Oryctolagus cuniculus: one gene and its partners. The protein of the gene in region 2 interacts with the protein of the main gene of each other region in a pairwise test. Links are inferred from orthologs where the notes say so. Each region holds a gene or a part of one and is shown on either strand. Other genes may lie near its edges.

Region 1 (4,079 bases), on a different chromosome or scaffold from region 2:
CTGGCCCTGGCTGCTAATGGCCACTGGGGGAGTGAACCTGCTGATGGAGGTTTTCTCTATCAGCTTTCAAAAGTAAATAGATAAACAAGCCCAGCCTCACAGGCTGCTGCCTGGCATCGCCAAATACCCCAGGCTGGGGGGGGGGGGGGGCTCATGCAACAGCGCTGTCTCTTGGAAGCCTGGGGAGTAGAAATTGAAGACCTAGGAGCTGGCGGGGCTGGAGGCCTCTCTTCTGGACCTCTCTCTTCTGGCTGTACCCCACCCCCTCCGTGTCTCTGTGTATGCAAATTTCCTCACAGGGACTCCGCATGGACCCTCCCTAATGGCCTCCTTCTAAGTCTATTATTGATTTTTTAAAGATGTATTTGTTTGTTTGTTTGAAAGAGTTACATAGAGAGGAGAGAGAGATAGCTTCCATCCATTAGTTCACTCCCCAGATGGCTGCAAGAGCCAGGGCTGGATCAGGCCAAAGCCAGGAGCCAGGAGCTCCATCCGGGTCTCCCACATAGGTGCAGGGGCCTGAGCACTTGAGCCATCCTCCACTGCTTTCCCAGGCCAGAAGCAGGGAGCTGGATTGGAAGAGGAGCAGCCAGGACTGGAACCTGTGTCCCTATGGGATGCTGGCGCTGCGGGCAGAGGCTTAGCCCACTATGCCCACAGAGCCGACCCCTGTTGTCCTGTTTTCTGCCTCACTGGGTCTCGTTAATCAGTAAATCCCCAGCGTACACAGCCAAGCCCTCATAAACCGCAGAGTGGGTGGACAAAGGGGTCCCCTCCGTGCCCTGCACAAGGTGGGTTAGGAGGGTGTATGAGGTGCTGGCCTCCCAGTCGCTCTGCGGGGTGTGTAGGGGGCGCTGCTGTCCGCCCTGAATCCCAGAGGAGGCTCCTGAGCCAGAGGAAGTCAGAGAAGGCTTCCCGGAGGTGACGGCTGCATCCACAGCGGGAAAGAAACGGGGCACCTGCAGCGCGTGGAGGCTCTGGACACTTGGGAGGGAACGAATGGGGAGCATTATCCCCACTGACGGGAGAAACTCGAGGCTGAAACTGTCTTGTCGACCCCAATCCTGTCTGACAGCTCAGAAGCTCAGAGCACAGAAACATAGGTAAGCGCCGCGCCACGCCACGAGTGTCCAGCAGGTGGCGCCAAAGCAGGAATGTCCAGGCACGCCTAAAGGCCTTACGGCTCCTCACGGCTTCCGTAGTACGGAACACGCGTGCCAAGATGGCGGCGCCCTAGGCCGCAGGAGCCAGAGTATCATGTGACTCAGCAACTTCCGTTGATCCCCTCTCGGATCTTCCCCGAGCCCTACTTCCTGCGCACTTGCGGAGACGCGCGTGCTGGGGCCTAGCGCGCTTCGAGGCCGCCGTGGGCCCGGCCCGGGTGGGGGCTCAGCCGTGAGAACCCTGCCGCGGGGGGCATGGAGGGCTCCCCGGAGGGGGAAGCGCCCGCCGCGGCGCTGGCCGCTGTGCTGAAGCACAGCTCGGCGCTGCCGCCCGAGAGCGCTCAGGTCCGGGGCTACGACTTCAACCGCGGCGTAGATTACCGCGCGCTGCTGGAGGCCTTCGGCACCACCGGCTTCCAGGCAACCAACTTCGGGCGCGCGGTGCAGCAAGTCAACGCCATGGTGAGGCCCGGGGCGGGACTTCCTGGCCGGAAGGGGCGTGGCCTCTAGGAGAGCCAATAGGGTTCCTCCAGGGCGTGGCTGCCAGGAGGACGGAGGGGGTGTGTCGCCCGAAGGGGCGGGGCCCACCCTGGGCGGGAACCGACTGCGAAGCGGCCTTTGCCCGTAGCGTCTGTAGGGGGCGGGGCCTGATTTTTGGTAGGAGATGGATTCTAGGCGAATTTTTGAGAGACAGAAACGGGGAACTCCGTCGGGGCCTCCCACGCGGGTGCAGGGTCCCCGGCACTCGGGCCGTCACCTGCTGCTTTCCTAGGCGCATTTGCAGGGAGCTGGATCGGAAGCGGAGAGCCTGTAGGGCGGGATTTTTAGTCCCCAGTAGAAGTGGCCCCTTCTAGAAAGTGCATTCTCATTTCCGGAACTCACCTTGGGGGGTCCCTGGCGTTTGCCGCCGGAAACTTAACCTGACCCCGGCCCCTGCCCCAAGATTGAGAAGAAACTGGAGCCGCTGTCGCAGGATGAAGATCAGCACAAGGACCTGACCAAGAGCCGCCGCCCGCTGACCGGCTGCACCATTTTCCTGGGCTACACGTCCAACCTCATCAGCTCAGGCATCCGGGAGACCATCCGCTACCTCGTGCAGCACAGCATGGTGGGACTGCGGCCTTGGGCAGTCATTCTTAAAGATTTACGTAGTTATTTGCAAGGCAGAGTGACAGATCTTCCATCTGTTGGCTCACTCCCCAAATGGCTGCAGCAGCTTGGGCTGGGCCATGCTGGAGCCAGGAGCTCCATCCGGGTCTCCCATGTGGGTGGCAGGGAGCCAAGTATTTGAGCCAGCACCTGCTGCCCCCTGCCCAGGATGCCCTAAAACAAGAAGTAGAGCAGCCAGGGCTGCACTCTGAGGGGGGGGGATACAGGCATCCGGAAGTGGTGCCTGTCCCCCAAAGTGGCCAAGCTCTTTCCTGGGGATCAGGGTTGAGGCTGAGTTGGGGACCGTTCCCTGGGAGTGGGGCGGGGGCCCAACTGCACTGCCTTCGAGCTGCAGGTGGACGTCCTGGTGACCACGGCTGGAGGTGTGGAGGAAGACCTCATCAAGTGCCTGGCGCCCACGTACCTGGGCGAGTTCAGCCTCAGAGGGAAGGAGCTCCGGGAGAATGGGATCAACAGGTTAGGGGAGGGGGCATCCCTGTGCACCGCTGGGGGGGGTGCTGAGGCTGGGGTGGGGGCTGATGGCCGCGTGCCTTCTGTCCCCAGGATCGGGAACCTGCTGGTGCCCAATGACAATTACTGCAAGTTTGAGGACTGGCTGATGCCCATCCTGGACCAGATGGTGCTGGAGCAGAACACAGAGGTGGGGGCTGAAGAGTCTTGGGGGGTGGGGAATGGGGTCCAGTGTGGTGCTGGGGGTTAGAGGAGCGTGGGCTGACTGCTGACATCCCCCCTCCCAGGGTGTGAAGTGGACGCCTTCCAAGATGATTGCCCGGCTCGGCAAGGAGATCAACAGCCCGGAGTCTGTGTATTACTGGGCACAGAAGGTGAGGGCCGCTAACACACAGCGTGGCCTCGCCGCTCTGAATTCCAGCAGTCTGACAAGTAACAAGAGATACCGGTGTGAGCTTCCATCCACTGGTGCACTCCCACAAATGGCTGCAACAGCCAGAGCTGGGCCAAAGGCAGAAGCCAGGCGCCTGGAGCTCTACTCGGGTCTCCCAGTGTGGGTGGCGGGGGCCCAGGCACCTGAGCCATCCCTGCTGCCGCTCAGCGCACATGCGCAGGAGCCAGGACTTGAGCTCAGGATGCAGGGGCCTCCTGCCCCGCCCCAGAGTGCCAGGCCGGGGCCAAGTGCTGGGTGTGCGTTTGTCACGTAGGCGCCCTCCTGCGGCAAGCAGAGGGGCCCAGGCAGGCTGCTCCCCAGCCTCAGCCTGGCCCTTCACTGTCTGCCCGCCTGCAGAACCACATCCCCGTGCTGAGCCCGGCGCTGACCGACGGCTCCCTGGGAGACATGATCTTCTTCCATTCCTACAAGAACCCGGGCCTGGTCCTGGACATCGTGGAGGGTGAGGCGCGCTGGGGCCCTGGGAGTGGCAGAGGGAAGGTGGGTGCTGGAGGGCTGAGGCCGGGGCCTGAGCGCGCTCTCTGCCCGCAGACTTGCGGCTCATCAACACGCAGGCCATTTTCGCCAAGCGCACGGGGATGATCATCTTGGGCGGCGGCATGGTCAAGCACCACATCGCCAACGCCAACCTGATGGTGAGCGCGGGAGGGCGTGGGAGCCCACTGGGCGCAGCGCCCCCAGGGCGACGGGTGCGGAGAGGAACAGGCCAGGACCCCCGCTCTCCCGGGGCTGCGGGCCAGCGAGCGATGCACGTGTCCGGGCGAGGGAGGCCCCTGGGAAGCGGGCCAAGTGCCCTGCGTGGGTCTCTAGCTGTGGCTCTAAGCTGGATAGGACCCGACTCG
Region 2 (4,091 bases):
AGGGCACAGGGCCTCTCACACCCCCGGCAGGTGACCCCGAGCATTCTCTCCTGCGGCCCTGGGAAATGGGGCTACTAACAAGCTGTCCAGGGCCGGAGAACATGCCGGTTCAGAGTGACAGCTCCAGGGTCCACCCAGTAATGCCTCAAATCTCCACTGGGGACTTAAAAAAAAAAATCACTGAAATTGATTCTGGTGCAAAAAACCCCGTCAAAGTCCACTAATTCAAGGGGTCTTCAAAAAGCTCCTGGGGGGCTGGCGCTGTGGCATAGCGGGTAATGCTGCCGCCTGCAACACCAGCATCCCATACGGGCACTGGTTCGGGTCCCGGCTGCTCCACCTCTGATCCAGCTCCCTGTTAACGTGCCTGAGACAGCAGTAGAAGATGGCCCAAAAGGTTGGGCCCCTGTACCCATGTGGGAGACCCAGAGGAAGCTCCTGGCTCTTGGCCCAGCCTGGCCCAGCCCTGGTCATTGTGGCCATTTGGGGAGTGAACCAGCAGATAGAAGACCTCTCTCTCTCTCTAATTCTGCCTTCCAAATAAATAAATCTTAAAAAAAAATTATCCAAGTATTTTGATTTTTTTGCATGAAAATAAAATGCCTGCCTGTTTGTGGGAGGACAATGAGAGAGGAGACACCCCCCACAGCACACCTGCTCAGAGAACATCTGGCCCGGCCTAGATCTCCTGTGTTCTCTCAAAGGGAAATGCAGTGACTTGCCCCAGGTCACACGGCAAGCTGGGTGAGTATGGAAATCTCCCGTCCCTGGTCTGTGGCAGGGCTCTGGCCATGGCACCCAAATCCCCACCCTTGGATGGAGGACTGGACTGGGACCAGCAGGTGGTATGGGTGGGTGGCGAGGAGGCGACGTGTGTCGCAAGGCCAGGTTGAGCCAGGCCGGAAGTGGACAAGGAGCAAGAAAAGCACTCTTGGGGGAGGGCATTAAGGCTAAGCTGTCCCTCCCTGGGCAAGGGGCAGGTGCGCGGGTGACCAGGGCGAGGCTCTGAGCAGGAAGTCCCAGAGAAAGATAAGGACCAGCTCCCGCGTGGGGGAGGGGTGAGGCAGCCACAGAGACACCTGCTTGGGGGCTGTTCCGGGCCTCAGTCCCCTCATCCTTGGGACCCAAAGGCAGGGGTAGCACCTGACACGCAGTAGGCCCTCAAGAAAAAGCAGTTTTCTTCCTCCCTGCTGTCTTTCCAGTCTGGGGATCCAGAGAGAAAGAATCACCAGTCTGTTCAGCAAGAAGTGACCGTGGGCAGAGCAGGTCACATAACTGCAGACAGCAGAAAACAAAGAGCCCAAAGAGACCTTGGCGCCCAGGCTCCCCATGGAGGCTTGGGGCAAAGAAGGGACCTGTCCAAGGTCCCCCTGCCTGACAGCCGCAGGTCAGGGGGGGAGGGGCCTCTGGCCTGTCACTGCCTTCATTTGGGAGGGTGGCAGGGCAGGGGGGAGCCCAGCTCTGGAGGCCCAGGGGTAGGATACACATCCCTCATGGCTTCCAGGGTGGGAGCCCGAAGAATGTCCCGGATGCCGATGACGTTCTCATGGGAGAAGCGTAGCAGGATCTGGATCTCCCTCAGCGTGCGCTGGCAGTAGGTCTGGTGTTCGAAGGGACTGATCTTCTTGATGGCCACGCGGGTCTTGCGCACGTGGTCATAGGCTGAGCTGAGAGGCCCAGAGAGACGTCGCTGCTGGTGTGGCCATGATGGTGGTGGTGATGGGGGGGGGGGAGCGGGAACCAGGCCCAGCGGGCCCCACCCAGGCCAGGGGCAGGGAGGGAGGGGACAGAGCAGGAGAGGGCTCTGGCCAAGTTATAAACAATGCTCGTTCCTTCCTGCTGTGAAGGCCTGGGCTCTCCAGGGAGAAAGCTGGGGACCAGCCAGGCCGCCTTTCGGTGACTTCACAAACAGAGGAAGACTGGCCACTCGCTGACTTCCCCTCTGCTTGACCCCCTTCCATTCTGCCCAAGCCCGGGCCTCCCTCCCCACCATGGGCTGCCTCAACCCACCACAGGGCCAGGGAGCGGGACCGAGGGGCGGGTCTGGGCCGAGGACAGCAGAGCAACTTCCGGTCGGTGCAAAGGCCCAAAGCACACAGTAGGGCTGGGCCAGCTCCCAGACCCCTCCCCAAGATGCAGGCAAGCAGGCACTCCCCACCTCTCCTCAGGCCCGGAGGCCCGAAGCCTCGCCCCACCCAGAGCCCTGCCTGTGCCGCTCCACTCCTGGGCACAGCCTCGCTTGGGGACTCCAAGGCACCCTAAGGTCCCCTCTCTCAAAAGAGGGTCCTCGTTCACCAAGACTACTGATTCTCGTCGCCCCACGCGGGTCTCTAGGGCCACCGCTCCCTCAACCCCAGACACCCAAATACCGCTGCTCCCTTCGGGGCGGAGGGCTCCCGTTCAAAGCCTCCAAGCCCCCTCCCCTAGGAACATGGGCAGCGCCCCCTCCCCCAGAAAGCACCCCAGGGCTCCTATCCCGGGCATACTCCACCAAGCCTCCAGAGTGCCCAGGTTCTACAGGCCACTCCAAGTCTCCACGGCCCAACGAGCCCCCTGCAGCCCTCCTCCGCCCCCTCCTCCGGGGTTGCCCCCTCCCTTGAGGCCGCCCCCTCCCCCGGAACGCCCCCTCACCTGACCATGCCGTACGCGCCCTCGCCGATGTACTGCAGCTGCGTGTAGCGTGGGCCCACGTCGAACGGCTGCCCCTTCACGACCTCCACTTCCCCGGGGACCCCCGGGCCGACCCCATCGGCTCCCCGGGGCTCCCCGCCCCCGCCCCCCTGAGCCGCCGCCGCCGCCGCCATCTCCACTCCTCCCCTCCCGCCCGCCCTCCCCACGGCGGCCCCGCCCGAGGCCCCGCCCCTTCCCGCCCGCGGGGCCGCGCGCGCCAGGCCCCGCCCCCGCGCGCCGCCCCCGCGCGCCCCCGCGCCCCCGCGCCCTGCGCGCGCCGCGGAGCCGGGGCGCGCGCCCGCGGACGTCACGTGGCCCTCCCCGCGCGCGTCCGGCTTTCCCGCCGCCGGGCAGCGGTGCTTGGTCGCTGCGGGCTTCCGTGTGCTGGGAGCGGGCGCGCCGGGCGGCTGTAGGCGCGGTCCATACCCCCTCGATTTCTAGGCAGCTGGCGGGTGACTTCCCCAGGGCCACCCGGCCAAGGTGTGCTGGGGCCGGACGCCCCCCACCCCGGAGTGCCTGGCCTTCTGGGACCAGAGCTGCTCCTGTGGGAGCCCCCTGGGGGTCCTCTCGGCCCTTGGTGGTTTGGCCTCCTTGAGCCAGCTCTGCTCGGCTGCCGAGGGAGTGTACTTGAAATCAGAGCCGCGTGGAGACCCACCTGCCGTTTAAGGGTGAGGCCGAAGCCCGAGGTGCTGCTGCCGGCGTGGGGTCCAGGCCCTGGCCCTCCCAGCAGCTGCAGCAGGGCCAGCTGTTGCCCCCACGTGCGTGCCAGGTGGGCAGGTTTCGTTAAAATACACTTGAAGAAGGAAAGAATCTGGGGCGGCGCTGTGACATAGCAGGTGCATCCGATATGCATCTCGGCTGCTCCACTTCCAATCCCGCTCCCTGCTAATGGCCTGAGAAAGCAGCCAAAGACAGCCAAAGTGCTTGGGCCCCTGCGTCCATGTGGGCCCATCCAGATGAGTCTCCTGGCTCCCGCCTGGCCCAGCTCTGGTTATTGGGGCCATTTGGGGACTGAATCAGGAGATGGAAGATTGACTTTCTCTCTCTCTGCCTCTCCTTCTCTGTAACTCTTTTAAAGTAATTAATCAATTAATCTTAAAAAGAAAAATCCAGCTTGTTGGATTTGGCAAAATTGAACTCACAAGAGGGTTGTCATCTTCCTGATTCTCTCAGTAGGCTGAGAGGGGCCAAGGTCAATCTTGTTCCTCACTGGATCCCCACCTCCCACCCCCATGCCTGGCACTGAAACATTAAAAAAATTTTCTTTTTGATGAATGAATCAAATTTTAAAAATATATTTCCTTTTTATTTGAAAGGCAGAGTTACACACAGAGAGAGATCTTCCATCCACTGCTTCACGCCTCAAATGGCCCCAATGGCCAGAGCTGGGCCAGGTGGAAGCCAGGAGCTTCTTCCAGGTC
Region 3 (4,421 bases), on a different chromosome or scaffold from region 2:
TATTAAGGGAGTGGGCACAGCAAGCAGCAAGCCTCATTTCACCATGCCCACATCGTAGGTTTTGTTCAGCCAAACATGCATGAGGAATTAATGAATGTGTATACTTCTCATTTCATTCTTTAACAGCTGACGTCTAGGACTTCTGTCTAACCTCAGATCCGGAGATCCTGCTTCCATGCTTCATGCCAAGCATAGAAGGTGGCATCTGACAAATCCCAACTAAAAAGCCATCTTTCTCCTCCTCCAGCATCAAGTCCTCACCCTTTGCTGACCCTGCTCAGGGATACCCTTTGTTATGTGCAAACAACTTCATAGAAATCTGCAGCAGCTTTAGACTTTACCTAGAAAGTGGGAAAGGGGCCAGTGTCATTGTGCTGCTCTCCATAATCCTTTGTTACCCATCAACAAAGTCTTTAAAACACCCTGCTGAACGGGAATTTCACTGTCAGTAAACTAGGCGCGTGGCCTTATTAACGGCACCTCCTACTGGTCCTTTCATGGAATGAAATATGCTTTCTTTATCATCCAATTCCCAGCTATGTTCTCAAAGGGGGGAAGTTGCTACTGAAAGAAAGAGGTGAAACTCAGATTAATGAGCAAAGCAGAACGGAGAGATTTGAATTCCCAGTATCTTAAAAGGTTGCCATCCGCTTTCCCGAGAACTGTGCAAACTGCATCACAATTCACTTGCAAACAACAGAACTGGTTTTAGAAGTGTAGATAAGTTTAAAGATTTAGATCCACAAGTCCATCGGTGGACATATCCCTTGTATATTTTTCTTCTGCTTTTTCAGGCGTAGGCTTGTGTGTTGAGAAAGGAATCAAAATAAAGCAATTTCTGGATCTCATTCTCTGGACAAGAAACTTAAGTGTGCAAGGGATGTTTAATGTATTTACATAGTAATAAAACACTTCCATTCATTCACTCCCACCCCTTGCCACACAAAAGTCACTTGGGAAATGGTTTTACACTGCTTTCTTGCAATTAACACGACATCATTGTCCATTTTTGAACACCTTGCCTACTGCAGTACTTGCAGCCGGCGCACTTCGGGCCTCGGGTTCCCTGGTCCGCAGACTTTTCAGCCCCGCGGTCAGCGCTCCCTTCCGAACTTGCCCCGTTCGGCCCGCGGCGGCCCCCAGACCGCCCCAGAGCGCTCAGGTCAACCTTGGCGCCTGAGGAGGGTCCCTCGCCCCGCAGTAGCAGCCGCAGGTCTCGAGCAGGGAATCTTAAAGACATCTATTCATTACTGCGAGGATGCCCCCCCGCCCACCTTCCGCGGGAGTAATTGAGGAGGACAAAGCTCTGCAGGAGAGGAGCCCCGGGAGGAGGCGACGGGCCCGCGGAGGCGGGTGCGCGGGAGCGCGCGGGGACACACGCACGCACGCCCCTCCACTCCCGCGCGCTGTCTGGCCAAACGCCGATGAGGAATCGAGTCCGTGTGCACGCGCCAGCGGATTCCTGCCTCGGGCGGGCTCGGTCCCTCAAGACCGGGGGAGGCGCGTGCTCCGCTCGCGTTCGCAACCCTTGGCCATGCAGCGCCTAGCGGGAGCAAGAAAGCCCAGGCCGCTGGCTCCGGGTGGCCCAGGGCTCGGCCGCCACGAGGGAGTTCCATTCCCAGGCAGGCGCAGGTCGCGGCTCTCCCACCCAGGGCTCCCCTTTCCTCTGGACTGGGGAAAAGGTCGTTTGGGAAGGGATTTGAACGCTCAGCCCACCGGCCCCCTGTCTTTCCCCACCTGGCCAGCCCCTGCATCCCAGCGCCCGGTCCCTTGGAACGAGAGGTCCCGCAGAATGAACGGGCGGTAGAAGAAGACGCGACGCTCTTTTTTCTTCTTTGGGCCGTCGAAGCCTCCCGGCTCTGTCTTCCGGGAGACTGCAGCCGCCCGGAGCGGCTTCCAGATTTCCCTTTTCCCCTGCCCTAGCCCTTTGCTGTCTCCAAACAGTTTTGACATTTTTCATGAGAAACTGCGTTGGCCCAGGGGCCGGGCCCGTTTCCCCCCCACCCCGGACCTCCTCAGCAATCATTTGGAGTTTGGAGGTGTCCTGGGGGGTAGCTGAGACTTAGCTTCCCAACGGCACTGGCCATTCAAAAATAAAACGAAATCCGACGCGCCCCTCTTTCCCTGGCAACTCGGTGCCTCTGAGCGCCGCGGCCCCCTCCTCGGAGGAGCCTACACTCACTAGCCAACCCTTTCCCGGTCCTAGATCGGCAAGTCCAGAGATGCAAACCCAGCCGAGAGGCGCACACAACCAACCATCACTTCTGCCGCCTCAGCCCCACCACCTGCATCCCGCACAGACTTCCCCAAAGCCCCTTCTGTGCCCTCCTGCACCTGCCCCCGGCGCCCTGAACCCTCGCCGGCTTCTGAAGCTGCGAGATCCAGCCTCGCTCCTTTCAACAGTATCCCCATGAGCTGCCTCAGCCCGCCAGCCCTGCAAGTCAACACGAGTATTCACAGACGCAAAGACGCCAGAGGCACCCGGTTTTTAAAAAAGAGCGAAGGGGCGCCCCTCTCCCCTGCTACCAGCATCCTCCGCCCCCAGGGGAAAGACAAAAAAAAAAGTCTTCTTTTATTACCGGCGAGAATAGGGGGACAGAGCGAGCGCTGAGGGTATGGCTTTTTCTCCTCCACCCCAGTTCTAGCAGTCGCCAAACGAACCGAGAAGGCAAAGGAAGGGGGTGCGAGGAGAAGAAAGGAAAGAGGCTCTTACCGGTGACTTGAAGATGCGCGCTGAGCAGGGAAGCTCCGAAGAGTACAAAAGCCAGCTTGGGTACCCAAACACATCCAAGACTATTCTCCATATTTCAGCCAACACCTTCGGGGCCGGGGGTCCTGGGCAGCGGCGGCACTCACACACATGCACTCACACACGCATGCACACATGCACACTCGCGCCGAGCCCCTTCGGCTTCCTCCTCTTCCTCCTCCTCCTCCTCCTCGTCGTCGTCGTCCTCCTCCTCCACCTCCCCTGCGCCTCTTCTGCCTCGAAGCCTTGTTCCTTGTCCAGAATCAGCAGCAGCAGGCGGCAGCAAAAAGTTCCATTTGGTGCAAGAGCTCCCAAGCCCAGGGAAAACCTGGGGACATTAACTCAAGGAAGCGCAAGGCGCGGGAGAGAGGACAGCTGTCCTCGAGGCCGGTGGGGCATCAATTCACAGAGCATCCTCGGGGACCAGGAGGAGACAGACGGGGAGCCATCCCGCGGCTGGGCTGCGCATGCAAAGGTTGAGGCCGGCTGCACGTCGTCGGCGGGGTAAAGTTACGGAGCAAAATCCGCGAGAGAGCTGCTGATGCCGGCCGCGGTGCTTCTAGGAGCCGCGGGACCACGGGAGGGGAGGCAGGGGGCTACGGGGCGGAGCGCGCTCACTTGTTACCGGGGTGTCTGCCAGCGGCGTGCGAGCTGGGAGTTGGAACCGTACTCTCCATTGATCCGGAGGAGTGGACGGCTGGAAGGGAAAATGTGGAGAGTGGAGGGAAGCGAACTGGATCGGGCAGCGCTTGCACGGGAAGGGGGTGGGGGCAGAGAGGCGACGGCTTGGGGAAAGCGGAGCGGACGGAGGAGGCTCCCGGCGGCTGCGTTCGCCGGCGGTGCGCAGCATCAGTGCTCAGGATGCCCTCTGTGGGCTAAGCGTGGGAAGTCAGTTTTGTCAATGGAGCCCGCGAACCTGGTGCGCGTCTGCTGACACTCAACCGCTAGGAAATTGGTTTTATTTGACAGTAAAACCTAGGCAGGTGTTTAAGCTGGGGCAGGTGGCCAAGCGGTTTACTTCCTTCCCTGCCCCCAAGGTTGCTTAGATTATTTGCATCTGGAAAGAGTCACCAACTCCAGCTTCCTTCTAGGAAGGACCGGTGGGGTACTGAGGTCCCTAAACACACAGAGGGCAAACGCCAGGCCAGGACGTCCCGAAACACACACACACACACACACACACACACACCTGTCTTCGCGGGACATCATGTTTCATCTGTGTTCTCGCTTCTCTACTCGCGAGCCAAGACTTTATTCAGCATCTTGTAAAGCACTGACCATGTTCCAGGTGCCCTGTTGGCTTCCAGGAAATCTGGGTAGGAGATTCAGTCTGACTCAGTCTCTGTCCCCGAGGGTTTTGCGATATGTTGGGAGAGAAGCATACATGGATAATTCAAGAACAGCATGATAAATATGATCGTCTGTGGAATGAGGAAGGACACTTTCCCAGTCCCTGGGACACAAAGTGAAGCAAACACACACACACACACACACACACACACAGAGAGAGAGAGAGAGAGAGAGAGAGAGAGAGAGAGAGAGTCAAGAGCCTCTGTGAGCTAACTTTCTGTGCATACCAGACCTTCACTGTGAAACCTGGTGCTCCTTTGAGAGCAGATGTCAGAAGCCATCCACTTTGCTCCCACTGAAGATATTAGGAGAGGATTTAGAA

Evidence for each region.
Region 1: the proteins of MAPK3 (region 2) and DHPS interact in binary tests that used the Homo sapiens proteins (3 or more experiments, as listed by UniProt). The link is inferred for Oryctolagus cuniculus from reciprocal best matches to the Homo sapiens genes MAPK3 and DHPS.
Region 3: the proteins of MAPK3 (region 2) and DCC interact in a two-hybrid assay, tested with the Homo sapiens proteins (2 studies listed by BioGRID). The link is inferred for Oryctolagus cuniculus from reciprocal best matches to the Homo sapiens genes MAPK3 and DCC.

Annotation. Positions count from the first base shown.
Region 1 is NC_091447.1:62,235,815-62,239,893, reverse strand, and holds the start of DHPS (deoxyhypusine synthase), read left to right. Parts: upstream 1-1,198; 5' UTR 1,199-1,418; coding exon 1,419-1,625; intron 1,626-2,106; coding exon 2,107-2,271; intron 2,272-2,667; coding exon 2,668-2,789; intron 2,790-2,876; coding exon 2,877-2,973; intron 2,974-3,070; coding exon 3,071-3,157; intron 3,158-3,573; coding exon 3,574-3,679; intron 3,680-3,768; coding exon 3,769-3,872; intron 3,873-4,079. UniProt on the Homo sapiens protein: Catalyzes the NAD-dependent oxidative cleavage of spermidine and the subsequent transfer of the butylamine moiety of spermidine to the epsilon-amino group of a critical lysine residue of the eIF-5A precursor protein to form the intermediate deoxyhypusine residue.
Region 2 is NC_091450.1:7,472,720-7,476,810, forward strand, and holds the start of MAPK3 (mitogen-activated protein kinase 3), read right to left. Parts: upstream 2,805-4,091; coding exon 2,632-2,804; intron 1,668-2,631; coding exon 1,485-1,667; intron 1-1,484.
Region 3 is NC_091441.1:25,985,847-25,990,267, forward strand, and holds the start of DCC (netrin receptor DCC), read right to left. Parts: upstream 2,932-4,421; 5' UTR 2,805-2,931; coding exon 2,714-2,804; intron 1-2,713. UniProt on the Homo sapiens protein: Receptor for netrin required for axon guidance. Mediates axon attraction of neuronal growth cones in the developing nervous system upon ligand binding. Its association with UNC5 proteins may trigger signaling for axon repulsion.